2 linked regions of the Yarrowia lipolytica genome follow. The protein of the gene in region 2 interacts with the protein of the main gene of each other region in a biochemical or structural test. Links are inferred from orthologs where the notes say so. Each region holds a gene or a part of one and is shown on either strand. Other genes may lie near its edges.

Region 1 (16,909 bases), on a different chromosome or scaffold from region 2:
TCAAGTGTTGACTGAGTATATTCAAGGGTCGATTGAGTATATTCAAGGGTCGATTGAGTATATTCAAGTGTTTAGTGCTTGTGAAAGGGACATTTGACTAGCTTGTCGCAATCGGATCACATGTTGACGGAGTTTTCGAACTACAAGTAGTTGTACGGGATCGCATTGTCACGCACAGTCTTCCCCGTCCGCCTTGTGTGTAAATTATATGCCCTTATTCCTTTTTATTTTGGCTCATGTTTTGGCTTCCGGCGAAATAATAACATAACACACACGGCTGACAGAGATGGGCAGCAGAACGTGATAGATGGTGGCTTGAAGCCATATATTGAGTACATAGAAACTCCATCAGCCATCCACAGTTGATATATTTTTGTCACGTGACCGCAATAGATGTTGCCCCCCCTCGGGTCTAGGAGCCATCTGGGTCCCTTCACCTTTCGCGGAGGAATTGCATGGGTGATGCACGACCATGTTATTGTTCCAAACTTTCATCCGGATATTGTCCCTGACTGTTCAAGCACCGCTCTCCAACGCTCCAACCCTTTTCAGCTCGTCGGCCACATCCCTATGAACCGATAATGAACCAGCCCGACCCCAAGGCTAACGTCAGGCCGCTGGCCATTCGAGGAAACTCGTGGTACAGCGAGACTGGTGAGGACTCGTCGCAGCAAACATCCATGCCCTCATCTCCATCTCAGCGACTTTTGGGCAGCACAGCAGCCTCCAGTCTGGCTGTGTCTCCCGTGGGATGGGCCACGAGGGCCGGCATCACGCTGCCCCTATTCCGAAAAGCCTCCATGATCCTGCCAAACACAGGACAGCGAGTACGACGACAAGTGACTTTCAGCAACGAGGAAGGGCGACTGGTGCCACAGACAATCAAGATAACGCCTGAAGAACTGGAGGCATTAGCAGACGCAAACGCAAACGCAAACGCAAACGCAAACAATTTCCAGACAACGTACCAAAATTACAACAGTATCACCGAATTTGGAGAACCCAACAGCAGTTCTTCTCCAAACTCGCCAGAACCGGACCCCGAACGGTCCTTCAACTACGCTGTATCGACAGTTGACAGCCCCACAATGTGCCACAGACACAAACCAAAGCCCACAGGAGTGTTTGGGAAACTGAAATATTACGCCACTGGAGCATGGATCGATCCAGAAGCAAAGGTCGTCTTAAAATGTTCAGTGGGATACCTTCTAGGAACCGTGTTCGTCTACAACGACCGTCTCTCAAGACTATTGGGTAACGGTGACTCCAAACATATGGTTGCCACTTCAGTTATTTATTTCCACCCAGGAAGAACCATGGGAAGTATGGTTGAGGCTCTTATTTTTGCATCTATCGCCCTGCTGTACTCCTTTTGTGTCTGTTCTCTGAGTATGTTAGTGTCGGCATTTCTGGTCGACTTGCATATGCGCCTATTGGCGTACATTATCGACCTAGTCATCTTCTGCGCCGTGGGACTGGGCACTCTGGCCTTTGTTAAGCAGAAAATGGACTTGCCGACTTTCAACACTGCCACTTCACTGGCGTGTGTGTGCCTTGTTAGTGTGCTGACGAAGGAGGGAAACGTGCAGCAGGGCAGAATTTCTTTGGAACAGCTGAACCAGATCTTCTTGCTCGCCATTACTGGTTGTACTGTGTCTGCTCTGGTTTGTGTAACGCTCTGGAGAACTTCTGCAGTCACAGAACTCAAGCAATCCATTTCAAACACCATGGACATATATGGAGACATGCTTCTGTATCTTACCAGGCAGTTTATGCGGGCTGTCGACGTGGACAGCGTCGAGTACATTGAGCTCAAGGCCAAGCTGCGTGCCCAGCTGAGTTGTTTCAGAAACATTCGTCATGCGAAGCTGGAACTGTACTTGACAGGCCGAGAAGATGAATACCACCAGCTGGAGAAGCTCGTTCATCACATGAACAGTATTCATCAGCATCTTAACGCTCTTACTTCAGGTGTTGAAACGGAGCATTCTACATTGACGCGAAAGAAGCTGTCCCAGCTGTTTAAGGACAGCCCCATCAGAAAACGACACTCATTGAAGAGAACTCTTTCTACCCCTGGAAGTTCTCTTCCTTCCCCGAATTTTGCATCTACAAAACCCAATGAGCCTACAATCACGCCTGAAAATCTGTTTGATGTCTTCTTATACCACTTGGGTCCACCCATGAAGTCTTTTTCTCTGACCATGAAGCGGATCTTGCACGGTTCGGAGCTCGACAAATGCGATGCCGAGGCGGATGTTGCTCAGTACCAGAGATCACTTGGTCTTGCTGAGGAGCTATTCTGTGAAGCCAGAAAGAAGGCTCTGGCTGAAGTCTACGGCTTGGGGCTGTTTAAGCGAAGGCACAATGACGAGTTCATCACTGATTGGGAGCAGGTGGCGGCTTCGTGTGGTAACTTCTCGCTGCTGCTTGAAGAAATGGCTTCTGAGGTGCAAAAGTTGCTGGGAAGCATAGAGGGATACCTCACCATCCGTGAAAACGACGAGAGAAGCTACCGATGGCTGTGGGGAGGCAAGCATAGAGAACCGACGGCAGCAGAGGAGGCAGAAACTTCCCAGAGGAGTGCAGTCAACAAGATCATCAGTGGACGTAAGACCATGGCGTTCATGACTCGACAATCTGATCTTCTGGAGGAGGGGTTTGCTGGGCGAATGCATGATGATCTCAATAGTGCTCTGACTAAGAAGGCAAAGCACGGAGAGCTCGAAAAACCGTCTATGTCGTTCCGTCTGTGGAAACGCCTGCGTGTTTTTAGAAGACGAGATGTCCAATTTGGAATTAGGGTAGGTATTGGAGCAGCTATGTTTGCTACCCCCGCTTATATGCCCAGTCTTCAGCCAATTTTCTATACATGGAGGGGCGAGTGGGGGTTGATTTCCTACGTGGTCATCATGTCCAAGTCAGTAGGAGGCACTACTTGGACTGCCTGGAAACGAATTATCGGTACGTTTTTGGGTGCTATGTGTGCCTATGTGTCTTGGGTTTTGTTCCCAGAGAACGAATACATGTTGGCATTGATTGGAGCTGCCATTTCTTATCCTTGTTTCCGCATCATTGTTACGTGGAAGGATAACAATGCGTTTGGCCGATTCGTTCTGCTCACCTTTAACATTACAGCTGTGTATTCGTACTCGTTGTACCTTGGAGACAACGACAATGACGACGATGAAGGAGGTCTAAGGCCTCTGGTAGGTACTATTGCTTTCCATCGGTTCGTTTCTGTGTGTGCTGGAGTTATGTGGGCGTTCCTGGTTACTGTTCTATTGCTCCCCAACAAGGCCCGAGTCAATCTCAAGCATGGTCTGTGTTCACTCTGGTTGCGAATGGGTCTTACGTGGAAAGACCCGCTGGCGTCCCAATTTGATCCTGCTACTGGAGGGTATAGGTTGGTTGGGCTTGCTGAGCAGCCCCAGTTGCAGAACACATTGATCCAGCTGGACGGTCTGCTCAAACATGCCCCCAACGAGTTTCGTCTCAAGGGCCGTTTCCCTAAGAACACGTACGACAACATTCTCAAATCAACACAGAAGATCCTTGATGCGTTCCAGAACCTGCGACTGGTCATTGAAAAGGACCCCACCACGACTCCTCATGAAGCTGTTCTGCTCAAAAGCACGCTGGCTGAACGTACTGAGCTCAGTCATCGAATTTTCCTGCGGTTCTACATGCTGGCCTCTGCCATGAAGCTTGGTTTCCCCTTCCCAGACAATTTGCCCTCCACCAAGCATTCTCGAGACCGTATGATGGTCAAACTGAATATCTATCGAGGCAGTCAACCTGAAGAGTATGAGCAAAACAACGTCATGGCAGCTGGTTCGGAAATCACAGATAACGACTTTGCGCTCCTGTACATCTACATTCTGGTCTGTGTGACCATCACCTCCGAGCTGGAGATTCTAGCCAAGCTGATGCAGGATCTGTTTGGTGTTATTGACGAGGAGATGTTCGATATTAGTTACAGTTAGGAGTGTTAATTGCATTGTTTTAATTGACGTAAGAAAGAGGTTGTAAACTGTTTACAATGTGCGGGAGACAGCTTGAACATCAGACTTGTCGGTGTAGACAGCAGGAGCTAGTCCAATGCTGTAGTCCTCCAAATCGTAGACGACGTAGGCGTTCTTAAGGAAAGGTTCTCCGAGAACAGCATCATTCGGAGATTCATAAAGGGCAGAGTTTTGCACTCCCAGTACACATGAAGGGTCTGTGGTGTCCCCTGAGAAGAATCCCATGGGCAGTACCAAAGACGAAGAGTTGGCTGAGATTGTGAGTCCGTCGAATTTGAAGTCCACGGAGATCTCCGCTTGACAGTCGATATAATACAGACCCATATCTTTGTTGTAGTTGGTCAGGTTAAGCCCGCTTCCTATAGCTCTGAACTGGGTGTCTGGAAAGGCAATAGCTAGCGACCCTGAGTCCAGTGTGACCGGCAGATTGAAGTCGAGTTCGTGTCCGCCAAGTACGAGGCTCTTGAAATTAATCTGGGGACCTGCACTGGGGTTGGCGACGTTGTAGTAATGGAGATCTCCAGAGTATTTGGCGTGGTCAATACCTCCCAGTAGAAAGGTTCCGTCAGGAGAATGGGGACCGTCAAAATGGAGAGAGTAGAGCACATGGTCAATAAAGCCCTGTTCTTTGGCGGAAAACGGAAAGTTGTAGTACTGGGGTTGTCCATTTCGTACCGACATTTCTACTTGCTTGAAAGACACACCCAAGATTCCTTGCTTCTGGTCTTGCATGTTAGAAACAGCTCCAAGTTGCAGATTGGACAGAGACAGGCCTGCTGCGTTGACATTATCGGTCACCCAGTATCCCTGGGCTGTTCCTCCGACGTATGCCGCGTTGAAACTGGTTCCTAAAGATTTGAACGTGGAGGAAGCCTGGGGGTTGAAGAGCCCTGGACCTCCAGTTTGGTCATCACCCACGGCTGGTATCCATAGATCAGAAGATCCTGTATCAAAGCTGACTTCGAATGACTGAGGAGGAGTGCCCACACCGATGTATGTGGAAATATAGACCCCAGGTCTTCCCTTGACCGACCCTAGGTATGTCTTTTTAGAGACATCCATAGACACCACCTTGGGGTTGGAGGGTGCAGCTACTGAAAGAGCTGAGAGAGCCAGAAGAGCCAGAAGAGCAGGGAACGAAAAGAACATTATCTCCACAACTACAACCACGCTTACAGATCTCTTATATGGAATGTAATAGATGGTAGAGTTGATGCCGTTTGCACTTTATCCACCATCTGACAAACCGTATCCACCTACAAGTACAAGTAGTAGGGTTGTATTGAGATTAGGAGGGGAGTAGAGACTAGAAGTGTGGAGACACAGAGGAAGTTGAAAAACAAATTGGAGTACTATCAAAAGCCCGCAACCGCTTGAATTTACAGTCGGACTGACAAAAACGAGAATGTGTGTGTTGTCTGAAACATCTCCAAAAAAATTGCGAATTCTGTGGGATCGAACACAGGACCCCAGATTACTCTGACCGAAGAATGACTTTCAGTCTGGCGCTCTCCCCAACTGAGGCTAAATCCCCGATTTTTTCTTTGTTAAAAACCCAGGCCCCCGTGACTAAGCCGACTGGATGACTCAGCCGGGGTGGCCATAACCCAAGGTATGGTCACTGCCGTCACTCTCAAGAAAGGTGTATTAGAAATACATGGAATAGGGGTTTATATGTTATCCAGGGTTGGGCGGCGCAACCTTTGTCCGTGATAGCAAGGCTTGGCATATCGATATTAATGATAGCGGTAATCCCACTGAGGGGCCCACGTGGTGGCGCCCCTCGGTCGTAGTCTCCCCGCAGCGGTTCAGAGAGACTAATCCAGGGCGGCTATTTCTTAGCCGCTGATCCCTAACATCATCCCCCCCCCTAAGATGAAGTCGTGGAAGCGACTTCCATCTTAACACGATAAAAAGCAACCATGATTCGACGTCGAGATGTCCAAGACAAACATTCCCCGTGAAACAATCTTATGGATCAGACTATCCATACAATAAGGTGCAGCCCTCAGCGACGCGAGAACTTACACGAGGCACGTTGAAACTCCTCATGACCAGAGACAATCACAGCCGACCGACATCAACCCGCGGGGTCAATGTCTGAGAATAACAAGGCAAAACACAGCCCAACTTCGCAGTTGACGGATCAACAAACCGACAACCACGTCGACTAGGCTTCAAACAGTTCCGAGAAACTCGCCTCGGAGGAGCAGACTCTCACATCTCTAAACAGACCAGAGATGGCTGTAGTGTACCAACGTAACCTCAGCAATAACACTGAGCCGTTCATCCCAATCCACACCGAAATGAACAAACCGACATACGAGAAATAGAAACATCAGAAACCGTTTCGTTCCTTTCTCACCCCACCTCAAGATGATAGCATCATCTTCAATGCGACTTAACACACTCCAAGGGATCTACCGACACAGACAGAAAGAAAAGTCTGGTCTAAACCCTTAGAACAGCAACATGACGATAACAACACGTCATTACTCACCTCAGGACGACAACCTAGTCGAACGTAGCGGAGGCTTTGGCAGTGGAAGCGACTACTTGTAAAGTCCACACAACAGACTTACAAAACAGGGGGAAACATCACGAACGAGCCATGACCAAGTTCAGTGATAACGGGTATGCCGCGACAAGTTCTTGTCTCCAGCGACACTAACCAGCAGGTCGCAGGGAACTTGAGCTGACCAATACCGGTGACTGAGTTTAGAGAGAATCTCAATCGTTGGTACGCCACCGTGTCATTCGAAGACCACTCTTGAATTGCTAAACTCTTTTCTCACGAGTCCATAATGACGTCCCCCCGGACGCTCTTGAAGACGACGAGACAATAGTCGTCAGAGTTCGCATGTGTTTATGCAGCTGGACACAGCCCAACACAAACCTTAATGGTGGCAGATAATGCACACCTTGGCAGCAATCAAGAACCGGAAGACACCCAGCAGGGAGCCTAATCTTCGCTCACCAACATGTTACTGTACATTGCAACTTCCATCGACCTAGGATCAGTCCGTCTCATGAAGCCTCCTTTAAGCAATCAAGACCACACGCCAGTTCCCGGAAACATAGTGGCCTCGATGCGTCGTAACCGAGTATGACGACAACGCTGAACGGAATCCTTCATGGGGATGCCCTCCACCGCAGCTGAAACGACTCTCGAACCGTTCCTATGAAGCGCAGCCGAACCAAAGACCGTCGGCTATTCACTCGGAGCAACCATGCTACAACGAGTGCAAGATACGTCCTCTTGTCGAGCGCGCCTCCTTGGGGAGAAGACGTCACTCCTGTGAACTTGACTGTCCACCTTATGGCAGTAGGAAGGTATGGAAAGCTGGCAGAACCGCAGCACCTTCGCTACTCTCAGTGCAGACGCCACGTCTGATGTCGCACTGCCGTGAGCTCCATCACCGACATCGTCACTCTGGGATACATCATCCACAGACATCAGCCAGCGATACCATCACTCACTGAGCCAGCTCCTCGACAGCCGGAGCGTGACTCCCACGACGACAGGATGAGACTGCTAGACGATATGACACCAAATACATTTCGATAAAAGCCATCGGCATTTCTTCTCCACCTCTCATCCTTGGAAAGTTAGTCATGATCATGCCAACTCTCCCTACCACTCGTGCATACTTCACTCTCCCCTCCTCCCACAGAGGCCTGTTCGATACTGCGGGACTCCAGGGTGCCACCATCTTTTACCCCTCTAAAAAAGACGCCGACAACTAGAGAGGCCTGGTCCCACTCGCCTCTACTTGTAACCCAGCCACCCCTAAAAAAATTTCCGGGGTTTTTGGAACGATGACCTGAACTGAGGCAGCAGCAACGGTATGTGACTTGCGGAATTTCGAAGGACCGTAGCGGTGTAGGTGTTTGTGTCGTTTAAACCTGACCGACTTCCCCTGGCCCTGGTTCTCGCCCCAGAATCGCATTGCACAACAAGTGCATCGGCCTTACCAGATGTTAGACCCCAGGCCCCGTGACTAAGCCGACTGATGACTCAGCCGGGGTGGCCATACCGAAGGTATGGTCACTGCCGTCACTCTCAAGAAAGGTGTATTAGAATACATGGAATACAGGGGTTTATATGTTATCCAGGGTTGCGGCGCAACCCTTTGTCCGTGATAGCAGGCTTGGCATATCGATATTAATGATAGCGTAATCCCACTGAGGGCCCACGTGGTGGCCCCTCGTCGTAGTCTCCGCTAGCGGTTCACGAGAGACTAATCAGGCGGCTATTTCTTAGCCGCTGATCCCTAACAATTTCTTTTTCGGACACAATGGCCACCGCAACACCGTGGCGGGGTACAGGTTATGAGCGAAAAAGAGCGATATTTTCTTAGATCATGTGATACCTCATATCGATATATTAGGTAAAGTTCTCTGGAACCTTATTTTACTGTTAATTCAGCCTCCATCAAGACATTTACCAACCTGCAGGGTAACTCACGTGACGAAGTTTGGTTGAAAAAGTGAGATTCTCATGTGGTTCTAGAAAGCACCTCCGCACACCATACACACCACCATACACACAACTTTTCAAATGGCAGACATTTTGAAAAACGACGATGCTCTCAAGGAGCAGTTTGAGAAGAACATTTTACAGCGGGCCACGCAGGTTATGGGCTCAGAGCAGGACCCGACTCTGGGGCAGTACATTGTGATGATGCTGCTAGACGACTACGTGACCGAGGACACAATCAAGTCAGAGGTGAAGCAAATGACCGAGGGGCAGCTCAGCGACGACTTTGTGGCGTGGTGCAAGGACGAAATGGGTCGCGTGGCAAAACACGGCGGTGCGGTACAGGAGGACACAGAAATGGAGGATGAATACAGCGTGGGGTCTATGCCTGGCCGACGGAAAACAGAGAGCGTTTTCAAGGGCAGACAGGATCGAAGTGCGTTTGGAGGCGTGGGCAAGTCGCTCAAGGATCGGGTCGGCCGAAACGGCGTGTCCAAGGCATTCAGCAAGGAGGGGGAATATAGCATCAGGAGCAAGCCCACATCTACCGGGGGAGTTCCTACGGGTTCTGTAGGAGGCATTCCGACGGACGCACAGCAGGCCATGTTCGCGACGATGCAGAAAGCGCTGTCGATGGATCTTCCGCCAAAGGAGCGGTTCAACCATCGGTGCCGAAACTGGCCCAACTGCAACTACGATAACTGCAAGTACGTGCATCCCACAGAGGCATGTGAGGCGTTTGCCAACGGTGGAGCGTGTGCTGCTCCTCCTGGCACGTGTCTCAAGGTGCATGTTGGCCAGGATATCGATGATCTGGCCAACCTTCCCGAGCAGCCCAAGCCGTTTGAGTGGGTGCCCTATGAGAGATACAAGCCTGCAGTTCCCAAGGGCTTTATGCTCATGCCCATGATGACTCCCCAAGGCCCCCAACAGGTCATGGTTCCCCAGGTGCCCGTGAAAACGACCATCATGGAGTGTCGGTTCACAGACCGGTGTGCCAACCAGCATTGCACTTATGGCCATCCTACTCCATGCAACAATGAGGCCAAGATCACCGACCATTTTGCGTGGTGCGACAATAAGGAGCACTGTGCGGATCCTGAGTGTGTCAAGAACCATCCGTCGTCGTCGTTGGTGCGTGAGAATGAGTCTCTTCCCTCAGGCCAGACTCTGGAGCAGTGCAAGTTCAACAACTACTGCACCAACCCCAAATGTCGGTTCCGACATGCCATGTCCAAGACCATTTGTCGAAACGGAAAGGAGTGCACCCGAATGGACTGCATCTTCATGCATCCCGTGGAGACGCCATGCAAGTATGGCGTCAACTGTGCCAACAACAATTGTATCTTCTCGCATCCCGAGGGTCATGGAAACGGCACTGCTGAGCGAAAGTTTGTGAATGAGGCTGAGGGAACTGAAAAGCTCATTCCTGGCCAGCAGCAGCAGCAGGATGTTGAAGGTTCCACTGTTGACGCCGATACCACCATGGAATAGGCTGTTGTGTCAATGCCATACGCCGTTCCAAAATATAGCTTGGTCATTCGGACCACGGTAAATTATTGTAATATATATATTATTATTGACCCAACTGTGGGTTTGAGATGAACTGAGAGGGTTGTAGAGGAACGCTCCGAGTGGGGCGGTCTATTGTATATGTACTACTCATTACTCACAACTGTTTCAGTTACTACAAGTAGTACAAGTAAAGATATAATCAACCAACCAAGGCTACAAGTGCACCAGACTTGCATTCACTTTACAGAACATACTTGAAGATCGGTCAAAAGTACAAGACGCAGGCAAACTGCTATTTGTCAGACACACTATGATTATGGTATAAGACAGCGTAGCCCTTCATGTTAAGGACCCTTAGTCACTCGTGAGTAAGTGGAAGGTTTATGATGCCAGAACATTGCAATCGCACAAGTACTGTATGAAGTAGCCTGATCTTCTCCTTTTCATATAGGTGCGGTTGTTGTGGTGCGATTTTACAGGTCCCATGGCCCCTCTACAAGGGCCAACCGCCAGCTCACAAAACTACCCTCTTTATTGTTGGAAAACTAAGTGTTCGCCCACCAGTCTGGAACCCTTACATCGTATTGGGGCGTATCCGAGCCGAAGGATCGTCGTCAAGGTTTGTTAGGGCGGGTTTCACGTGAGCTGGGGTTCAGGAAGTGACGGACCATCAGAGTCCGACATTTCAGATCTCTCTATCTCCATTAATCCAATGTACACCTCCTTGTTGGCACAGTATCATGGCTAGCTACTGGTAGCCCATTTCGGTGGTGGTATGCATGTACTGAATTGCGCCGTTGAAACACCGTTTAAACGTTAGGGTGGCAAAGGCAAGGAGTCTTGTTGGGCATCTAGGACGATCCCATTTCGTATTTTTTTTCTTCTAATAAATTCTTCTAGGAGGACCCATTTTGTCACGGTATTGGCCAAGACTTCTCGCGTAAATGAGGACCTGAAACGCCCTTGTTGTGCGGTTCATGTCATATGACGACACGCCATCTCGGGGGGCATCGGACATGCATGGAGCACAAAGGGACAAACCGAAGGATGGGTCTCTGGGATCTTGTAGCGAATATGCCTTTTTGGTGAGCTGTGGAATCGAAATACGACGGTCAATCGCGGTCCCACAAACTGTCGGCAATCTCGTAGCGTTTTCCTACGCCCTTCAAAAGACCGTCTCGAAAAACGCACACCCTGGCTTTCGGGCCAACTATAAAGCCGCGACTTTATTTTATTTTTCATTGCTTGTGAGACTAAATGGACGGTCGATCGGGTACCTTGCCTGATTAGACAGTCGGTTTGAGAGAGGGGAGAGTCTCAAATTCTGTTGCCCAGGAGCCCCATTGCGGCGGATATGTGCCATGTGCGCCCGAAAACTCAGGGATTTGAGCGCCGCAGACGGTCGGGTCCAAAGTATCCACATACAAGACAAGACTCTAAATATTTTAATATTTTTGTTTCCTTGCTCCATTGTTCTTTGCTCCAAACCATGCCGCGTGTGCATTGCTACTTCCAGCAACCTGCATAGATAGCAGCCTGTACGGGTACATAGTGTCGCATGTGTTGATGACGTCAATGGAAGGCCCGGGGTTCGGTTAACAGGGACTTGACCGGTCGGAAATGACTGGTCACAACGGCGGCCATGACCTTCGGACAAAGGCCCGAGACACGGTTGGTATCGTGAACGGTCCCCCCCCTGACCCCCAGCCACTCTTCTCGCCAGCAACTTCCCCACTACAGCCGTGTGCCATAATAACGCAACGTCATGCGGCAAAGATAAAAACTAGCCTTGTAGCAATGACCCACGATGAGTGGGAGGAGGAGTACAAGTAGCGATCAAGGTATGCCTTGAGAGGAGACGTAGGGATAACCGTAGGCTGACATACTGTACTGCTTTGTATCTCACAACCGGCGTCCCCACGACTCCACCACCATCCCCTCGTTCACCACCTTCGCATCCCCAGAACATTCACGTCCTGCACCTGCAGTCAAAACACTCCTTTCTCCCACCGACACCAATTCTTGTTTCTGACTTACTCACGACACCACCACCACGCCTCTGATAAGACACAATGCCCGTTTTTGAAAACCTCAAAAACTTCATTCGGCATGGAAAACAGGCCCAGAACGGCCTGGAGCCCATCTCGTCCCGTAACTCGGGCCGACGAAGCCAACAACCGCCCGCCATCACCCACAGTAACAGTGAGCCGCTGACCAAAACCACAATGTTCAGCGAGGGCGCAGCTCAGACCAAGGAGCCCGCACCGGCCGCCAAAGCCGCTGCTCCCGCCAAAAAAGTCGACAAGGAGAAGTACAACGACGCGATCAAGGAGATTGTGGAGGAGGAGAAGCTGCAACAGAGCAAAATTCCCAACTACCCGGGACTCGAGAGATACAGGCTGATTGAAAAGATGGGAGAGTGAGTATGAGAAACGGGAGGGAAACATGGGGTTGTGTATGGTGACAGGCGGATGCTTACGACGGCCATATATATGGCCATTCTGGATGTCTGTCGTTCAATTTCCTTGGGTCATGGTGTGATGATGGGAGTATGGTTAAAGTGTGTGCTCAAACTTGTTAATTATTTTGTGACACGCTCGCTTACATCATGTTCACTATGGACGGTGAGGACATAGTGTCTGGCCATGTCCAGCTACTACATCCACACACTCGGACCTGACTACACCACTTGACACAAGTCACATGTCACTAGCGCGAATTTCCAACCATGTTGGTAATAAGCATAATGGCCTGCAAAACAGGTGGAGGCGTTTGAGACACGTGACGACGCAAGAAGAACTGATACCCAGTGTACTTGTAGCGCTGTTCCGTGCTTCACGCGCCAATGGGCTCTAAATACCACCCGCGCTAAACCCGCATAAGTGTGCGGTTAGTACATTATCTCAACATGCTAACATAGTGGCGCATTTTCCATTGTCTACAAGGCAGTGGATCTCCAGACCAAGGAGGAGGTGGCCGTCAAGGTCATTCGGAAATTTGAACTAAACGCCAATCAGGTGAGTCTTGTGAGGAGAGAGGAGTGAGAGAGTGAGAGAGTGAGAGAGCGAGAGAGAGAGAGAGAGAGAGAGAGAGAGAGAGAGAGAAGAAACGAATGCTTGTGCCTACACTCAGGAAAGAAAGACACCACTGACACAAGTCGCGACATTTAGGAAACAAGGCTAAGCATGAACAAAAGGCAACACAGGTGGGTTAATGAAGGATCAGGGATTGAGGTGGTTATACCCGCAGTCGCAAAATACTAACTCAGCGTTCGAGTATCCTCAAGGAGGTGGCAATCATGCGTCAATTACGGCACAAAAATGTGGTGCAGCTCATTGATTTTAGCGAAAGTGAAAACCACTACTTCATTGTTTTGGAGCTTCTTCCTGGAGGAGAGCTGTTCCACCAGATTGTGCGTCTGACGTACTTTTCCGAAGACCTGGCCCGACACGTGATTGTCCAGGTCGCAGAAGCAGTACAATACTTGCATGAGGAGGTAGGAGTGGTGCATCGAGACATCAAGCCCGAAAACCTGCTCTTCTACCCTGCTCCCTTCACCCCCAGCAAGAAGATTGTGTTGAGAAAGGGTGAGGACGAGAGCAAGGAAGACGAGGGTAAGTACATTCCCGGCGTGGGAGCCGGAGGCATTGGGGTTATTAAGCTGGCTGATTTCGGACTTTCCAAGGTGGTCTGGGACAGCAAAACCATGACTCCTTGTGGTACTGTTGGATACACCGCTCCTGAGATTGTCAAGGATGAGCGGTATTCGAAATCTGTCGACATGTGGGCTCTGGGGTGCGTTCTGTACACTATTCTGTGTGGCTTCCCTCCCTTCTACGACGACAGTATCGATGTTCTGACCGAGAAGGTCGCTCGAGGACAATACACTTTCCTGTCTCCCTGGTGGGATGAAATCTCCAAGGGAGCCAAGGATCTCGTTTCACATCTGCTGACGGTCGATCCCGAGCGTCGGTACACAATTGAGGACTTTCTGGCTCATCCCTGGATCACCCAGAGCAACGAGCCCACCCATCCTGCTTTGGATTCTCCCATGGCGTCCATTTTGGACCAGCGAAAGGGCCACACTCCCGCCACGACTGCCATTTCGCGAGAGAACGTCGAGGCCGAAGATCCTCAACCCCACGACTCTGCATCAACTCTGCATGTCGAGCACCCTGCCGAGGGCGCCTCCACGTCGTCGTTTGAGGATCCTCAAGCAACGTATCGGTCGCCGGCCACTGTCACCCTCAAGGAGGTGTTTGACGTGTCCAACGCAGTGCATCGAATGGAGGAGGAGAATGCGCGACGTCGCCGAATGGGCGGCTCCAAGAATCTCGGCATGTTGACCGAAATCATCACCGACGAAGAGGACGAGGAAGACGACACTCTGGAGGGAAGCATGTCTCGAGTGTCGGTGGCCGAGAACCCTCACGCCCACAAGCGCCAGAAGCAAAAGAACCGATCAGGCGTGTTTGAGCTCAAACTTGACGGCGCCACGTTGCTTGAGAAGCGAAAGAGAGCCGCTGCCGGTGTTGCATAGCGCGCAGCGTCTGTCGCTCTTGTTCTGAGTTATCGAACGGCATTTTTTATATCTACAAATCAAACGGGGCAAAAAATCAACCAGAGACTTCAAAAAATCAAACGTTTGCACTTGTACATTTTAGCACGATGGACAGTTTGCACCACGGATCTACGGGTTCCTTGTGTGCGAGAGAGAGCAGGGCTCGAGTTGCACAATGACACACAAAGGTAAGGAATTGGAGGGATAATTCGCAGTAATAAAGTGAGGGTATGTATGACTATTTGTAACAGAAATTGTAGACAAGACTCAGGTATGTGCTTGTATGAGCACGGGTACTTGTACTTGTAGATGCTTCTCATTCATGTATGTACATACATTGGTACATATTCGTGCTGTAGATGTAAATGTGTGTATATTAGTTGATGTCTATAATGCGTGTCCGTGTCTACTTTTTTGTTTTTCTCTTCTTCTCTCCCTTGCCAGTCTCCTTGAGCTTTTCCTTCAGACTCTCCTGGTATAGATGCAAATATTCCTCGCCGTAAACCTCGACAAACTCCTCCTCCGAATGCACATATTTGGTGAAATCAAACGGTTGAAAGGCCGTCTTCAGTTCTCGTTGTTTCTTGTTCTCCTTCTTCTCGGTAGGGGCATTTTCGTTCTCCTGGCAATAGAACCGTCTCAACAACATGATGGCCTCTTCACGGTAGAATCCGGGGTATGCCTTGTAGGTAGGGTCGACTCCCTTGTCCGAGTGAATGCTCATGACGCTTCCACAGCCGCCAAACCGGTCGTTTGCACATCCATAGTACACGCACTTGATTTTGAGCTGTCTCAGAGCAGATGCACACATGATACACGGCTCCACTGTGACGTAGAGATCGACCTCTTCAAAGATATCGGCCGTGTGTGTCTTGAGAATGTGCTCGATACCCAGAAACTCGGCGTGGCGGGTTCCACACAGACTCTTGTTTGTGTCATTCATGCCTCTGGCAATCACCTTGCCGTTGTGCACAAACACGCATCCCACAGGCACCTCGTTATTGTTGAGCGACAGTTCTGCCTGTTCGAGAGCCTCTTCCATGAAGCCCGAATGGTATTCGTATTTTGTAGTCATTGTAGGGTACTGTACTCGTGCTGTTTGCGTTTTTCGTTGGTCTTTTTTTTCTTTTTTGGTCTTTTTCAGTTAGCCCTGTCAACTGATGCAGAATCTTGTTTTTTTTCAGCGTCCTGCGATAAGGGTTAGGGTTGATCTGGGTGGTTCGAGTTCCGAGATGGATGACTAAGACTGGGTTTGGGTTAGTCCTGAATTGGATGCCTCGACATTTTCACTTTCAGTTTCTCCACGCGCATGGCATAAATTAATCCAGGGGAACGAATAAGAGAAAGCCAAAGAAGCACACACGTCATGTACGGCACGTAATTTAGCAGGCGGCATGACAGAGGTGATGCAATGCTTCGTGGTCGTGGATAATTCGAGCTGGGTGATCGTCGGTGATCGTCGAGGGAAAAAATCGTGTCTATCTTGATTTACGTGTTTTGACAGACTCTGGTGACAGGGCTAATAGTCGGGGGCGGCGGGCGTTAGAAAACGATTAAATTATGATTAATAACTTGATCGTTTGGAGAAGTTCCCCACGTTTCAGTCTAAATTCCTCCACTACCAGACATTTTGTGTTAATACCGCTAGAAGGAGAGGCCGCCAGCAGTTGGTGACATGGTGTGCAAATGCTTGTCGATGAGAATATCATGTGGCAGGCGGTTAATCCCTACTTGCGGTGGTAGATGAGACGCGTGGATGTCGCATGAGGAAGTAAGGAGGTGAATCGTCGGTGGGAGCGAGTGGTGTGTCGGGGAAGGTGCAAGCGCGTGGCCTCTATGGCAATTGTGAGCAAACGACAACTCGAGAATTGCACACACTGTGGCGATATCAGCTTCTCCACAGACCGCTCAGAGGACACGTCATCGATAAATACGACCATTATGTTTCGCGACCTGCATGGCTCTGGTCATTTAGCCAACTTAACTTTTCCCACTCGGAACCTTGAGTGGTGGCGGGCAGGAACATGTTTAAACAAGGTCACACAGGCAATGTGAGGAGTCCAGTGACCATGACAATTGGCGTTGGCATGGACATTGCCATTGGCATCTCTGAGGAGTCTTGTTGTCACGAGATTTGGGTCTGGTTGTTCTGACTGTGTCTGTGTAACACGCCCAAGACCCCGTTCTGTCCCATGTGGCAAATCACACAACGGTTAACTGGCCTGTGTCATGTGGAATATGGTAGAAACCACACATTTCATCCACACATAACACAGACGCTGTTAACACGTCATTGAGCGGTTCCACAGCAACCCGCAATCCCGCAAT
Region 2 (16,505 bases):
GTAGTGACATTACTTGTTGCAATGGAGGATATCTCCAGAAGAACCGCTTTTTACCGCCGTGTTTAATAGTAAATCCTTCCTCGTCAGCTCGACATAATGCTTGGAGAGGTCGATCTGTATCATATCTTCAAAACACGATTGGGTGGTCGGTGGTACGAGAGAGGACCTTCCAGACTTTGAGAATCGGTTTTTGTAAGTGTAGACAAGTCTGATAAAGAGATACTCTCTTACTTGGAGGAAATGGGCTCCATGTTGGGGTTCTTTCAAAGTAGGAGGATCTCAACCTGTCGAAATATATAAGAGCAGGTACTCCAAGCTATCTAAAGATGAAACCTGATTTCAAGATCAGAATACATATGAAACCTGATGTCCGGATCAGAATACCCTCGTAAACCGCATCTTCAACTCTCCATTAACAGCTCGAGTTTGCCCACCTGTAAAATCTAACCTGCAACCTCTCGTTTTGTTTGTATGAGTATAGGCCCAAAGAGAGCACTTGTATCTCATAAAAAAGCAACTTTTACAGCAACTTTTACAGCAACTTTTACAGCAACTTTTACAGCAATTCAGACATTTCAGACACTCTTAGAGAACTTGTTTGAGCATGAATACCAACTATGGTTCTCACAGGAGAACTACAAGGGGAGAGTGTACTTGAGAAGGCTCTGGTAGTATGGAAGCTATATGAATCGGTACTGACTGGGGCTAATTTTGAACGGATCCACAAAGTTCTCCATTATCTATTGATTGGAGCTATATTATCATCACTTCCGTGGTTTTATACCGTAATCGTATGTACTAGTAACCAACAGTTATGATAGAAGCCGTGGAGGAATACATGCAAAGGTTTAAGAGGAACATGATAAATGAGTGATTATTCTTCCTCCGCCAAGATCTTCTAGACTCCAAGTTAGTCCACGGTACACCAGAGTGGAGGTGTTTGCGAGGACTTCTGGGTGTGACGCTATGATGAGAGAAGAAATGTGGGCAATGGTGAGTATATGGAGTTGAAAACTGTGAACCAAACCCCATTTTTCCAGCCACAACACAAGGTAGCTCATGCGAACACGTCAAGCAACCATTTTGCAACCATCTGTTGACATATTGACATAGCAGTCTTTGATATGAAGCAACCAAACATGCGGATTGGACATGCTGCTTAATGTCCATCTGTATCACTTTGACAACTCCATTCCTGGATGGAAACTAACTGGTTGCTTTTTCCTCACTGATTTACTTTTTGCCTGTCGTTTCTTTTTCTGCGTATCAACATCTTGTGCATTCCACACATGCACTATGCCAGGTCGGCAGGGCAGTCAAATGGAGACGATACGCCGTGAGCCGTGTTTTAGAAACCGAGGGACACTGCATGTGATTTCTGTGGACCCCCCCAATTTGAACCTCTTGGGGCTTCATGTCTTCCAGGACCCACAGTCGGTTTTGTTCTCGGTATAGACAAAGTCATTTACCTCTTGGTTAGCATGCAGTACGAGTAGAAACGTATGGTGCCGGCTCAAAGATGTTATGCCTCTGAAGTTTCGGCACAGTACTTTTAGCAAGGCCCGATTTCTTGACCGGGTTAGATCGCGAAATGCCATCAACTGCTGTTGCTGTAGGTGCCAACGGGCCCATGGGGTAGTGTGCGTGTTATAAGTACATAAGTACAGTCGGTGATGAAGAGAAGGAAGGAGCCATAATAATAAGTCGCATCGGTGTCTCACACACTGAGACTTGCCGGTTGAACATGATGAACCTTTGACATTCCTCTGAATTACTGTAGCTGGCCCACAGCAACCAAAACAGCACCCTGTCGACCGTATTCAGCAGGGACACTAACAGTCCGCTATGCGCTCGCTAACGGTAGTTTATTGGGCTGTAGGAATGCTCACTTAGGTGGAGGCTTTTGGTTTGCGTTGTTAAAAGACATATAAACAAGCGTAAAGGCCTCATCTATAACTGGCACTATTGTATCTCTTATGAACGTGGGCTAGTCTTGTCGATCCTCAGCCGTATCCGATACTCAGCACAAACGTGGATGAAGAGAGTGATTTTGAACACGCGTCCACCCTTGCAAACATTACAGCAGTTCTCTGCTTGTCAATATCATGCTAAGGAGAAGAATAACCTGCCCGATTCACTAAGCATTAAACCCCGTCCGGGTTGAAAGTTCATCTCCATGAAGATGGCAGAGGGCCCGGTCTCTTCTGGAACGACAAATATAGACCATCAGATGACCGATCTGCACGCGGCGGGGCACAGATTCGAACTGTCGGCAGTATTATCGTCGCCGCCAGGGCTTGCACCTTGGAGGATGGTTATGCAAATAGCGCAAAGCGGCTAATTCGAACTTTTTCGGGGGTCCACAGAGACAATAGCTGATGACAATTGGATATTTGTGGGGGTCTCCATCTCTGGTAGAATATTAAAAAATTGACAACAAATATGGAGCTATTTATATCGAATTGTAAAAGATTGTTCAATATTACTTGCTCTCGATTACTCCATGCAGCAAAAGTATTTATAAGCCCGTCTTCTAATCCGACGGTCACGTGATACCGGGACCCGTGGGGTCCACGGTCTAAAGTGGGTCAAGGTCCTATTCACACACCATCAGGTGTGTATTTTTAGAAGACTCCACATCCACGAGCCGGGGCGCTCCCCACAGTGCCCAAAAAACCCTCAAACCTCCTGTACAACGGTTTCAGCCTGGGATTCTGTATTTTTAGCAGCTTGTAAGACAGCCCATGTGCGTCACTGCACTTGGATTTTGGAGAGAAATGGGTCTGCGAACCCTACGTCCGATTTGCTCACCAACGCTACCTCCATACAGACTGGTTTTTGCTTCAAAAAAAGACGACACCGTACGAACTACGCCTCGTTTGTGCACATGGACATGTGTTCTAAGAGGTAGATCCGGTTTAAAGGATATAACTCCGGGCAGTGGTATTAATAGCGCCAACAGTCACCCACGCGTACTCGCACCAAGATGGATCTGGCTCCCGGTACCTAGAGCAATTGTTGCAGCCTGCCGGAACTCGTATCGTACGGGGTCTGTGCGACACTAAAAAGAAAAAAACAATGTCACACATACGAGACACACATTGTGCATTGTAGCTGACCCTCAATATCCATCTTGCACGTACGTAGTAACCGGCCTATGCAGCAAAGTCTTCACTCTCATTTAACCCAAAACTTTTAGTGCCCGTACAGTGCGACGTATTGAGCAAGGGGGACAGTGGCCGACGCGGGAGACGCAGAAACGACAAGACGACAAAATGGGAAATGGAATGAAAAAAACAACAAAAAACAACAAAAAAAACCAAACAATCTGGACCCAGACAAACCTCTTGGAGGCTTCAAAGAATCAATAGGTCCTGTATGTAGTGCCTGTATACCCCTGAAGTGGTGAAGTTTATCTGAACTCTATACGCGGTGTCGCGAAAAAAGACGCGCAAAACCAAGTACGCGTGAAACATGCAAAAAATCAACTGAAAATGTTCACGTACAGTGCCAGCATATGCTATGGAACCGACGGGACTGTACTGGACCACCTCACAGAGCGCCAGTTGCAAACTAAGCGCCCGGAAACTCGGGTACCTGTCAGCAGGTGAAACAAGCGAACTGTAGGCGATATTGGTCTGTGTGAGACGAGAGGACGGGAAAATAACTACCAGGGCTAATATTAGAATTCAATTTCGGCTTATGGTTTGATTTGATTGGCCGTATGACAAGGCTGAGCTGACTAAGCGGTCCGGGCAGGAGCTCGAGTACCGCTAGTATTATGAGGGGTACAGGTGTACGAGTATGAAGGCTTGAGGAGGTAAGAGAGATACTCCAAGGAGAAATATGGCCCCCTATTACGCCTCTTTGGGTCTGTTTTATCCCTACTTGTGGAAGAGATGGCTTGGGATCAGGCGGGCGTCGTACAGTGCCAGGATCAGCTGAGATTGGAGGGCATGTCTCAGTGAGACGTTAGCAGTAGTGTCAATGATGTAATTGGTTGCAATTGAAGTGTGTGAACCGATTGAAAAAGGTGAATTACTCCAGTAATTGCCGTTTTTTTATGCCGTTTGGTGTTATCTCTCCAATATCGGATCTTTTGTCCCACAACAGTCCGATTCGGTATTCTTTTTTTTCAGGTCACATGGAAGCGGCGAAAACAACTTGTCCCGGCAATTGCCACAGCAGTGCCACAGCAATGCCTCAGGGAACAGTCGGGTATGTCCCCGTTTCATCTCCAGAAAAAATATATCAGCACAGCTCCACTTATTATCTATATCCGCTTGTTGTATTTGTTGTCTTTTAGTTTCTGCCCTACCGTTATCCATATTGGGAACCTAACCAACTCCCTTCCGAACTAATACACATTTAAAAGAAGACAAATTGCCACAAATGTATCAGGATGTTGCCAAGAAGACGTGGATTCACCTGTTTGGAGTTTTCGGGGTCGATTTGGGCCTTTGGTGACAAAATCTGTCTCCGAAAAGTGACATGTTCCGACACTATCGACGGCGGCTGGAAAAAGTCTGTCGGAGGATTAGCGCCATAATTGGGCCCTAATCTGCACGGGCTAGATCCATTTGGGTCCTGACACCTCTTTGATCGCTGCCACGACCATGCCCTACCGCAGCCTGGGTGTGTGCACATATTTTTTTGGGGGGTCTTCCATTTGTTTGTCTTTGCTTTTTTGTTGATTTGTTGTTCAATATGCAGTCGGCACTCCACCGACATTCCCACATCTGTCACAGGTGCCAAAGAAAAAGGCGAAGCCCCCCCTGCCACAACACAGCTGGTTTATTTGCACAACCCCTTTTATTATCTCCTCTAGTGTACCGTCCACCCAGCCGCCCACAAATAGTTGGACAGCCCACCATGTGGCACCAAACATGCGTTGTTATGACAACCCGAACGATTACCTAACCACCTCCCCACAAGAATACTCCGTCGGGCATTCCAGAAGCAGCCAGACGCACCAACCAGATGATCGGTGCCTGTCGGCGCACCGGTTCCGGACAACCGTTACTGCAGCAACACCTCCGTATGGCACGTGTGTATGGTTGGGGGAGCGTTAGACACGGTGGGAGGGTCGGTCCGTCGAGTCAGGTTAGACCCCACGGGCTTGTTTTGACATACCATGTCAGGGGGGTTCGTCAATGGAAGAGTGTACACTGTACGATAGCAGTGTACCGTACGATACATGGCCGGGTCGCTAAGAACGACTTGATCCAATATTTAATTATTTTGATCGCCGGATTTCCCGATATTCTGGGACAACGTGTTACAGACTAGGGCCGTAGGTGAGGCGTCACGCTCTCCTCATGTCCAGTATATTAGTATATTATATCAAATTATCACAACGTTACAGCGTCCATCGGTCAAACTGATGGATTCGGAGAAGTCAATTGTGGCGGCTACGTGATAGAGTCGATATGGCGCGGTATGACGGAAGGTAGGAATCGCCGACTGATTCACCGTACAAAGTCTGGCGACAGTAGATTGGTGTATTTTCCCATAGTTTCCGGATTTTTCCCCTATTTTTCGATATTTACCTATTTTAGGTATTTTTTTTTATTATTCTTTTCATAGTTTTGCATTTCCCCTAGTTTTGCGTATTCCCTCTATCAATCCAGCTGCCCTTTGTACACCGGAATGCTGATTCGGTTGGCATCCTCACCTAATCGACGGCACCATACAGTGTATGATGCAGGAATATTGCTAGGGTTAGGGGTTCTATTCCCATCTGGTATTCATGGATAGCCTTTTTTATAGTATTTGGGTTAGTCTTTTACATTGGCATTGTGTGCACAACAAGATCGAAACTATCAAACCATGACACACTGTAGCCGTTGTGACGTAGTGAGCCGACGCTGTACAAAAACTGACTAGGCGGATTTGGGCCCTCTGCGAGCTGACGATAATTGCGAGATTTGTAGCGGGTGGGCCTCGCGCCATGTATTCCGTGGATGCAGGGCTAGCAAGCTGCAACCAGACGCATCACTTTTCGTGTTGCTTTTGGTACAGTGTGATATCTGTACCACCACCCTGTGCCGCTTTGGTGCACCTGTGGCTATGAAAAACCCCTCAATCATCATCACTAGTTGCAGATCATCTCTGCACCCATCTCCAGCTCTTTTCGGAAACCGGTGAGATGCAGCTGCAGCTGTGGTGCAGCAAGTCTCGCGAGGCAAATTCCACAGCAACGCGTGATGTATGGGGTAGAGTGGGGGGAAGGGTATCAGGGACTGGATGTAGACGCTTGATGCATGCGAGATCACATATTCACTAAAATGTGTGTTACTAGTAGGTGTTATACTAGTTGACTCAGGAACATGCGTGCCGCGTCTGCCACACGAAATACAGCGCCCCGCTTGCTCATATCTCGACAGTTGATGCACAAGATGCGTCAGACAGGCAGTCGAACAAGCACATACAGATTAGAGAAAACGAGAGTGTAAATATGGATTAGGGTATGGGGGAAGTGGGAGATTACAGGGTAGGGTTAGGGACGGGCTTAGGGTGCGAGTAGCCTACGTAGTCGTACTGTAGATTTTACATTTTTTTGATTTTTTTTTGGCAACGTGCACAGACCGTGTACCGAGCTTGTGTTTGGCGTGACACGAGTTGGTGGGCGTGTTGCAAGGGGCATTTTGGTGCCGGCTAAGCAGTGTGTTTGGGGGTTATTGGTTGGAAAAAAATGCATGATTCCCGCTCATCAGCGTCAGACTTGGTCCTGTTTCTCCTACCCGCGACTCTACTGAGGCGAAAATCTGAACAGTGAAAACGGCCTATTTTTTTGTCTTTTCTATTTTCCCATTTTCCCCATTTTTTGTCTTTTCCGTTTTTATTATTATTTGAATACAATGACCGACCTGTGGCCAAGTGTGGTTCCCTTGTCACCCATGTTTACAATAGTTTTATTGTCTCCACCAAATACAATGGTGTAGACTTGACGGTCCAAAACTTTACAGTCTCTTTGTCAGGGTCTAGCAATCACACAGGGCTGGCCGCCATTGTTTACAAACCTAGACGTGAGTATAAGAGGCTGCCGGCCGCTATCGAGGTTGACTGACTGATTGATCAGGAAAAGGTGAGTGAGGATCAGGGTGAGGTGAAGGCGAGCGAGGGCGATTGAGGTTGGTCATGATCTCCTCGCGGTCCGCATAGTCTTGTCGGGGTGGTCATGGGTTAGCTATGGTCTTGTCGAGTTAGCATGGTCAATGGTTACTGGTCGGTGACATGATCTCTGACCATGCAATGGGTCCGAAGAACCGCTGCGAGCACGCGTGCCTGCTACAGCTCCTACCTGCTACGCCATGTCTCACACAACGTCTCCAACCGCTGCACCAGTTGTACTCGACATTGCCAATATGTGGTTGGCCCAACAACCAAGTCTAATTCTAATGGGCAAAAGGCAAACATGCGCCAGAGGAAACCAGCTCACAAACTTGATCTCCTATCCACACTAACACAGGATGCAAAGTGTGACTAGTCCACTGTCACGACGGCACATGTTTGACGACTCGCCGTCCTACAAGCGCAAGCTGGTTTCGCCGGCCTGCATGGCGGGAGATCTCACCGCTGCCGCCGTTCATATCGAGACGTGAGTATGAAACCAGGAGAGGGATAGGCGGGGTTAATGGGGATGATGGTGATCAAATCGCTCTGATTCTGAGCACATGTCCCATCATGAGTCCCCATCATGAGTTCCCACCATGTGTTGCAGACTGTATGAACCTGAGCATTTCCAGCCAAGTCACAATGCGCTGACAAGCGGGGGTTCTGTGAATCGTTATCGTTACCACGTTGCTGTAACAATGTCAACACAGAATACCATTGGGAATCAGCTGGACTTTACTCATGACATCAAGCACCAGACTGTCTCCCCCAGTTAAGCCCTTTTTCTTTTCTCACCACTGTAGACTTCCGTTTACATGGGACACGCACACGCAGACAGCGTGCAGTTAATTATCACCACTAACGCAGACCCACCTTGCCCACTCCAAGACGCTCGCTATTCACCGCCAAAACCCCTGCATTTCTCAACCTCCCTCCCCCAAACGACTCCTCGACGCCATGTGGAGTCCCCATGAAGAAGTCAATGAGCATGATGGAGCCCATGTCGCCGCTGTCCGCTGGCTCGGACGGTAGCACCACCTTTGGCAGTAGCACCAGCAGTAACACCAGCAGTAACACCAGCACCAGCAGCATCCAGATGCACCGGCTACGAAAGAACAACCGCAGCACCAGCAGTCTGCGGCTCACCAGCGCCGGCGTTTCGTTCGACCCCATTGACGAGGAAGGTAGCTTACGTAAGCCGTTCCGTTTCTCGCTTGAGCTGGACTCGCCTGCCAACACCCGCTTCACACACTCCATGAATGAGGCCGACAGCAGCATGGACACAGACGAGGATGGCCTTGGTAGCTTGTCTCAGAACTTCCGTTTGGGAGGAAGCACCAGCCACTCCAACACACATAGTCTGAACTTTAACGGCTTTACGCTCGGCGGCGCGGCAGACGAGAGTGCGGGTGCTGTTGCCGCAGCAGATGTCACCGCTGACGACATTAACGATACGCCGTCAGCGCGGCCGGTACGGCCCTCTCTCAACCCGCTATGCAAGCGGTCATACAACTCGTCGTCCACGCCATTTGCTGCCAAGTTCAAGCGGCCCCGACGAACCCACTCCATGTTCCAGGACCCCAAGGAGCTTATGCAGGAGGAGCTGGACGAGGAGAAGGAGATGGTTCGACGCCTTTCGCTGTCGCCCGACGTTAATAACAACGTGGACTCCTTTCTTGTGTCCGCTGACTGCACTCTGGAGTCGTTTTCCGTCGAGGGCGATCCCTTCCGACGCATCAAGCGAGAGACTCTGGTCCAGATTCTGGACGGTCACTATTCGCATTACTACGATCGCCACGTTGTGATTGACTGCCGGTTCGAGTACGAGTATGATGGCGGCCACATTGACGGCGCCATTAACATCAACTCCAAGGATCGACTGGAGGAGCTGCTGTCCAACGAGGAGGGCATTCTCGGCAACAACTGCAACAACATGATGCGGCCCGGCAAGCGGGGCGGAGACTCCCGGAAACGTACTCTGTTGATCTTCCACTGCGAGTACTCTGCTCACCGAGGCCCGCGAATGGCCATGCATCTGAGAAACCGAGACCGTCGGCTCAACATGACTAACTACCCGCACCTGAACTTTCCCGACGTGGTGATTCTGCAGGGCGGCTACAACCACTTTTTCGAGCAGTTCCATACACGGTGCTACCCTCCCCAATACGTCGAAATGAACGATTCCATGCATAAGAGCACCTGTGAGAGAGAGATGGGCCGATTCCGGCGTCACATGAAGCTACGAAGCGAAAGCTCCATCAACAAGCAGCAGGGCGTCATCTGTTCGCCGGTTGGGTTGTCTCGTTCGCTGAGCGAAAACGTAGACTATCATCGACCCAAGCGGGTGGTGAGTTGCCAGCTGTGGCGATGATGTGCATCCAGAGACACTTGCTTCGATTGATCAATTTCCACACAGGTTTCTGTGGGGCAGCCTTGATGGTTGTCCTTCAGTGTCTTCTGAGATCCTGCAGCGGTCCAGAGACATCAAAAGAACACTGATATAAAAGTACTGACAATAATACATTATACCCACTACAAGTAGTTTGAGCAGTGTAGGCAGTGCTGTGTGTGGAAGCCGGTATAGCAGAGTGTACGAGCACGAGTACTCTTCACCCTCCTAGGCGACGCATTTGAAACTAAAAGTTCAGTGTCTCGATAGAGCAGGCAGCATCTACCGCACTTGTTTATGGATTCATCATCAGACCATTGGGGTGGTTACTTTTGTTGTCCGCCTCATGTGCACGCACTGTAAGTATGTTACAGCTGGTCTATGGCGAAATACCGCAAGCTAGTGTTTGGCCAGGGTAGCACGAGTTTTTGGTCTTGTCGGCTATTGGTCGAGTTCAGGGAGAAAAAGTTGCTCATTCCGCTTCTTTTGCGTCTCAATTGCTCGTCTCTTTTCGGCTTGTTTTTCACATCCTGTTTGCTTTGCTCTTTGCTATTTTGGCGATACTGGCACGATTAGCTTGCTTAATCAGAGTGCATTGTTTAGGCAAGGGGAAGGAGCCTCGGAAGAGACGGGCGGATGTGCTGTACGGGGATTGTGGGGCTAAACAAGACGGAAGGCGGGTACTTAATAACTCGTCTTGACGGCGCAGTGTGAAACGGAGCTACTGGGGTGCACGTATCCCGGTCCGTACCAGTAAAAGTTGTAAAAGTTGTAAAAGTTAGCCTACTTGTAGGTGGGGCTGACCAAAAGGGTGTGCGATTATGTACGTACGATTCCGATACAGCACGGGCACTGAGGCTGTAGGTTGCTTTATTATGGACAAATGATTGCTGTTGGAGGAGGAGTCTTTTGTTTATTGGCATTAGTCATCACTCTTGGGCTTGGTCTCCAATGCGATGGCGTCAACACCCCCAAATGTCTCAACCTTCCGATTTCCACCCAGCCAAATGCACAAGTTAGACCACTTCCAAAACAGGGCTCCAAATGCGGCGCTAACAGGCCCTTAACCCAGTGTCAACAGATTGCGCCACATGATGGCTGTATTCTCCGAACCAGGGTGGTCCACAAAGAGCCCATTGTGGGCGATACCGCGTCTCTTTGTCCCCAGCAGCCTCCTATTTTCGGGCCCTTTTCTCTTTTATACACCCCACAAACCCTGAGCTTAGCACGCATCGGTTTGGCGTACTTTACGCGCAAGCGGGGCTAAACGCGATGGCCATATGACCGGCTACAAAGAGAGATGTTGATAATAAATGTGAGACACGGACGTGGCGGCTGGCTGCATTTGTGCGACACGGGAAACAGGGCCGGACCGTGGGGCGTAACGAGTCTGCGAGCTGTTTTGGTTGGTGTATGGAGAAATATAAGAACCAAACAACAAAAATATAAAAATTTAGAATATAAAAATAAGAATATAAAAATAAGAATATAAAATAAAATAAAACCTTTCTCTGACAGTCGCCAAAACTCACTTGAGACTATAAAACAAAACAGCTCACCCCACAAAAAGATCTGCGGCGATCGAAATGTTGCTATTGCTATCTTTACTGTGTTGGCGATACGATGCCGTTGGAAATGAGCGCCAAAAACGGTCCAAAAGCGGACCTCAAGCTCCACGCTGACGTCACTTGACTAAGCAACAAAAAGGTAAACAAACCACCGAAGGTATTCACAATGAGCTTGGAATGCATCCGAAACTGCTTACATCACGTACAAGTACTCTCGGCTTGGTCATATGAACACAATACACATACCAAACACGTACGCGATCACCTGAATCCCATATATATCACCTCACCATGATCTCCTGACCTTCCCCTGACTAGTCAGCGCTACGACAAAACGTCTTATCAACGTATCTGGTGTACCCCTCGATTTAGTGCCACCACCTAGTATGTACTGTATGAACGGTCATAGAGTCACCTCTTTGTATCCATTATTATGTGTCTTCCCAAAATACCCGTATGTACTTAAATGTACTTGTAGGGGTTGAGAATGTGGTTAGGGTCATAGGCGTTCTTGAGCTGCTTCATCAGATAGACATTGTCCTCGTCCTTGGAGTACTGGATGAAATGCTTCTTGATGAGACCAAGACCGTGCTCGGCAGAGATGGAGCCGTGGACCTTGGATACCCACTCGTAGATCCAGGGCTCGAGGACCTGAGAAATTCGCTCAGAGTACTCTCGAGTCATAATGTTCAAATGCAGGTTACCGTCTCCAACATGGCCGTAACCAATGACATCAACCACGGGCTTGGATGCGTCCGTCTTGGAGATCATGTCCTTGCTCTCGAAAACGGCTCGCAGGTCGTCGACAATGTTGTACAGCTGGGGCAGAGGAATAGAAATGTCGTACTTGTAGACACCACCCTCCTTGCCAATGACCTCGGTAATTCGCTCTCTCCATGCCCACAGGTTCTGGAACTGAGTCTCGTCGCTGGCAACCACTCCGTCGCAGACAATCTCCTGCTCCATCACGTCCTCCAGGAAAGCCTCGAGCTTGGCATCATCATGCTCCTTGTTGGAGCCGGCGGTCTCAATGAGAATGAAGAAGGGGCTCTCAGTGTCGACCGGTCGGGTCAGGTCGCAATGCTGCTGGACCCAGCCCTGAGATCGGCCGTCCATGAGCTCAAACGCAGACAGAATCTCACCGAGATCCTTCTTGGCGGCAATGAAGGCCTGCTGGACCTTCTCGTACGATTCAACGGCCAGGTATGCCACATTCTTGGCAGCAGGTCGCTGGGGACACAGAATAGAGACGGCGGTAATCACACCAAGAGTACCCTCGGAGCCAATGAAGAGCTGCTTGAGATCGTAGCCAGTGTTGTCCTTTCGCAGCTTGGACAGCATGTTGACAACCTTTCCGTTGGCAAGCACAACCTCGAGACCGAGGACGGAGCCGTGAAGAGAGCCGTATCGCAGAAGACGCAGACCTCCGGCGTTGGTGGCCACGTTTCCTCCAATGTGACACGAGCCTTTGGCTCCCAGATCCAGAGGGAACATGAAGCCCTGTTCGGCCAGATACATGTCTGCAGCCTCGAGAATGACGCCAGCATCAGCAACAAGGATTCCAGAAACATTGTCAAAGGACCGTACCTTGTTCATGTTGCTAAGCGACAGGATGATCTCATCGTACAGAGGCACAGATCCACCCACCAGACCGGTGTTTCCTCCCTGGGGCACCACCGCCAGTTTCTTGTCGTTGCAGTACGACAGAATCTTGGACACCTGCTCGGCAGAAGTAGGCTTGAGCACCAGCTGAGTCTGTCCACGGAACTTTCGCATCCAGTCAGTGTTGAACATCTCAATGTCCTCTACGTCGGTCACCAGACCGTTTTCGGGCAGAATGGTCTTGAAATGCTCAATGTCGGCCTCGCTGAGTCGAGCATAGTCGCCTCGGGTCTCAGTCCTGTACCACTCGGCAGTCTGCTTGACCTGAAGAGCAGGAGCAGTGGTGTGAACAGATCGAGCGGAAGGTACAGCCTTAGCCAGAGCCAGGGGCTTGGCAGAGAGCTGGGTGGCGCTCTTGGCAATGGAGTGTCGAGCACCCCGCAGGGCAACCCGGGACACCAATCGTTTACCGGCAGATTGCATCATGGTCGTAGTGGTTTGTGGAGGTGAGTCAGAATCGATTTTTTTTTACCTTCACCATCACTTTCGGGCGCTTATTTTGAAACCTTAATTCGGTGATGTTGAAGCAGGTGCGGATGAGGGGAAAATGAGCAATTTCCATTGGTGGAGGAGGACATGTGGGGGACAAGTGGGGGACAAGTGGGGGATATTTTGTGTGTTTTTTTTTTTTTTTTTGGAGGGGGGGTTTGGTGTTCCAAGGATGGTGGTATTTTTATATTTTTTTGGGAATTGACAAAAAGAATAGTTTAAACGGATTTTTCAAATTTCGTTTCTACTTCAAACGTCTCTTACCACATTACAGTCTCATGGTCGAGCCGTTGTACTTGGTAAGAGAATATTGGCTTGATGGCGGCCGATTCCCTTCGTTTCAGATCTTGACAGCTATTCCTTGTACATGTGGGACACGAAGTATCCAGTTCTTCACCATCCAGATTTTGACATTGTAAACAGAGCCCTTGAATAACTGTTGATACCAATAACATCCTAGAATGTAAACGCACTCATTCTATGCAGAAACTACCACCTGCCGTTCCAGATGTCCTCTGATCCAAACCACCCTCGTGGAGCTGGAGGAGGATCTGGGAGCTTCCAGGAACTGGGTCCTAGCCCTGAGCTGGGCAACTCATCGAACGCCCTCTGGATCCGAGGAGTCTAGACACCGGCCGGAGTATCAAGAAGACCGGGCCAGGTAAAGTGGAGTCTTTGATTCCGAGAGTTGGTGGTATTCGGCGATTCGAAGCTCAGCCCAATATCCAGCTGTCCAACTAATGGTTTCCTGTCAAAAGTTCTTACACATTACCGCACGCCTCAATATACCATCGCACAAGTATATCATCTTCTGAATATAAATTAGTGATTAAATTATTCGTTCGTAGGGCATTATAGTGTTGTTGCAATGTCTAGACAGACTCAATGTAGACGTGCTGTCCGTCCTTCTTGTCGTCAGAAGCGTGCTCGTCGTAAGCAGCGACTCGAGTGGTAGGCACAAACTGGTGGGATCGAGAAGCAATCTTGATCTCGGCGTACATCTGGTCCACCTCCTCCAGAGTAAGACCCTTGGTCTCGTAGATGAAGAAGTAAGTGAAGGCGATGCACAGGAAGTTGCAGCCTCCCCAGATGAAGAAGACCTTGGTCTTGAGACCGGCCGATCCAGGGGCCTCGTCGACGAGGTAGGGGGTTGCAAAGGCAATGGCAAAGTTGAAAAGCCAGTTGGAGGCGGCGCATAGAGCAACACCCTTGGCTCGGATTCGTAGAGGGAAAATCTCTCCAATGACAACCCAGGCAATAGGACCCCAGGTGGCGGCGAAACCGGCAATGAAGGTACAAGTGAAGGCAATCAGAACCTTTGAGGAGGTCTCGTTATCAATGGCAGTACCAACAGCCGCCACGATAAACTCGGAAGAGCACATGACGATAGCTCCGATCAACAGCAGCTTTCGTCGTCCGACTCGATCAACAAACATGATACCGGGGATGGTCATAACCACGTTGACAATGTTGGTGATCATCTGGATGAGGAAGGGGTTGGAGATGTTGGACTTCTTGAAGAACTCGGTTCCGTAGTAGAAGATGAAGTTGATACCGGTGAGCTGCTGCAGGGCCTGAATGGCAATACCGGTCAGCATTCGCTTCAGCTGGGACCCCTTGGGGGAGAAGCAGGCGGCCCAGGTGGCGCTACCGATCTGCATCTCGTGGTCGTGAGAAGATTGGATCTCCAGGAGCTCCTTCTGTACAGCCTCGTGCTCAACAGGAAGTCGTCGTAGTCGTCGCAGGGAATCGGCGGCCTTGTCGTACTCGCCCTTCTTGATCCAGAATCGAGGAGTCTCCGGTAGCAGGATGAGACCTCCACTCAGGATGACGGCCCACAGAAGCTGAAGGCCGAGAGGAATTCGGTAGGAAGCACTGTTGTCTTTGTTTTTGGTTGCGTTGTTGACAATGGCAGCCAGCAGAAGACCAATGGTGATGGCAAACTGGTAGATGGAGACAACGGCACCTCGGATCCACTTGGGGGCAACCTCAGACTGGTAAAGAGGAACGATGGAAGAGACTCCACCAACACCAAGACCAGCAACAACTCGTCCGACAATCAAAAGCGTTCGGCCGGTGGCAGCAGTCTGAAGAATAGCGCCAACAGAGAAGACGACACAGAAGAGGATCAGACCCAGTCGTCTTCCCAGAGTATCAGAGGCCCAGGGAGCAGAAATGGCTCCAGTGAAGGTGCCTGCAGAAAGAATGGAAGTGATGAGCGAGGTCTGCTCAGAAGTGAACTCCAGGCCGTCATCTGTAAAGGTCTTCTTGACGAATGGCATGGCCATGACGCCGGAAATGGTTCCAGTGTCGTATCCAAACAGAATACCTCCAAACGCGACAAACACGGCCACAAAGGCCGCCATGAAGGCCGAGCCCTCGGGCTTTTCTCCACGGTTGATGATGTTAGCGAGTCCCATGGTTAGTAGTGAATCAATGTCGTGTTTCAGGTGGCAACTACTAGTCTCTATATATACACACACGAGAATAATGAAACCAGTATGCTTTTGGCCATCATTCCCCAAGAGAGCTTAGCTGCTGCTCTCATGTGTCACCAAAACAAAGAGTTGACGGTGGGCGCCAAACCTTCCCCAGGTTTCTTGTTTGGCAAACGCTCGCACCACCCTCCCCGGTCTTTGACCTACCTCGGGGGTTATGGGTCCTTCTACCCGGGCGGAATAAACTCGCATGGCGCGGCACTGTCTTACCTATAGTTGCGGTGGAGAGTTATGCTTACAAGAGGTTCACCATCTCCTACTTGTAGTTGACTGATGTCTAGCTCTACATCTTGTTCCGGTTCCACGCGTGGGGCTTCTTCCATGTACAGACGGCTTTGACACGGTACAGTAGTGGCCGGTAAATGTCGCGAGAAACTTTGGCCAACCGTCACCAACTGCATCTGCGGGTTGGCGCGGTCCAAAGAGTTGGCCAAAGGCAAATTCTACGCTTCCTCTTGCTCTCTCTCTCTCTCTCTCTCTCGTCTGAGACTGCCCAACCTTTTTGAGGAGTAGTCGCGCAGCCGTGCCGTGTGGGTGCAGCGATCGTCTTCAGCCGTGCTAAGGGAGCGCACTAGTGTTACGTGGGGAGGGGGTGTCACGGGTCCCAGAAGCGAGTCATGACAAGACCCAAGCGGTCCTGGCGAGACGTCTGATGCCGTATACTTGATCAAACCCCGGATTAAATCTGGAAGAAAAGAAAAAAAAAATTAGCCATAAGCGAGCTCCCCGCACATCAATCTATGTACCCCTTGTTTGGTTAATCCGCTCCAGCTGGTTTCTTGT

What was found.
Region 1: of the proteins of YALI1_C08600g (region 2) and YALI1_E16773g, one has a biochemical effect on the other in vitro, tested with the Schizosaccharomyces pombe proteins (2 studies listed by BioGRID). The link is inferred for Yarrowia lipolytica from reciprocal best matches to the Schizosaccharomyces pombe genes cdc25 and srk1.

What each region holds. Positions count from the first base shown.
Region 1 is NC_090774.1:1,673,721-1,690,629, reverse strand, and holds YALI1_E16773g (uncharacterized protein), read left to right. Parts: upstream 1-12,092; coding exon 12,093-12,439; intron 12,440-12,940; coding exon 12,941-13,037; intron 13,038-13,288; coding exon 13,289-14,560; downstream 14,561-16,909. Other genes in the region: YALI1_E16900g (uncharacterized protein), read left to right, coding at 582-3,986; YALI1_E16854g (uncharacterized protein), read right to left, coding at 4,038-5,174; YALI1_E16841g (uncharacterized protein), read right to left, coding at 6,251-6,445, 6,492-6,518; YALI1_E16820g (uncharacterized protein), read left to right, coding at 8,587-9,999; YALI1_E16750g (uncharacterized protein), read right to left, coding at 14,988-15,656. UniProt on the Schizosaccharomyces pombe protein: Delays the mitotic G2/M transition by promoting nuclear exclusion of cdc25. During osmotic stress, inhibits the G2/M transition in a sty1 stress-activated MAPK pathway-dependent manner.
Region 2 is NC_090772.1:851,491-867,995, reverse strand, and holds YALI1_C08600g (uncharacterized protein), read left to right. Parts: upstream 1-7,472; coding exon 7,473-7,600; intron 7,601-7,983; coding exon 7,984-9,487; downstream 9,488-16,505. Other genes in the region: YALI1_C08548g (uncharacterized protein), read right to left, coding at 11,536-13,161; YALI1_C08523g (uncharacterized protein), read right to left, coding at 14,097-15,644.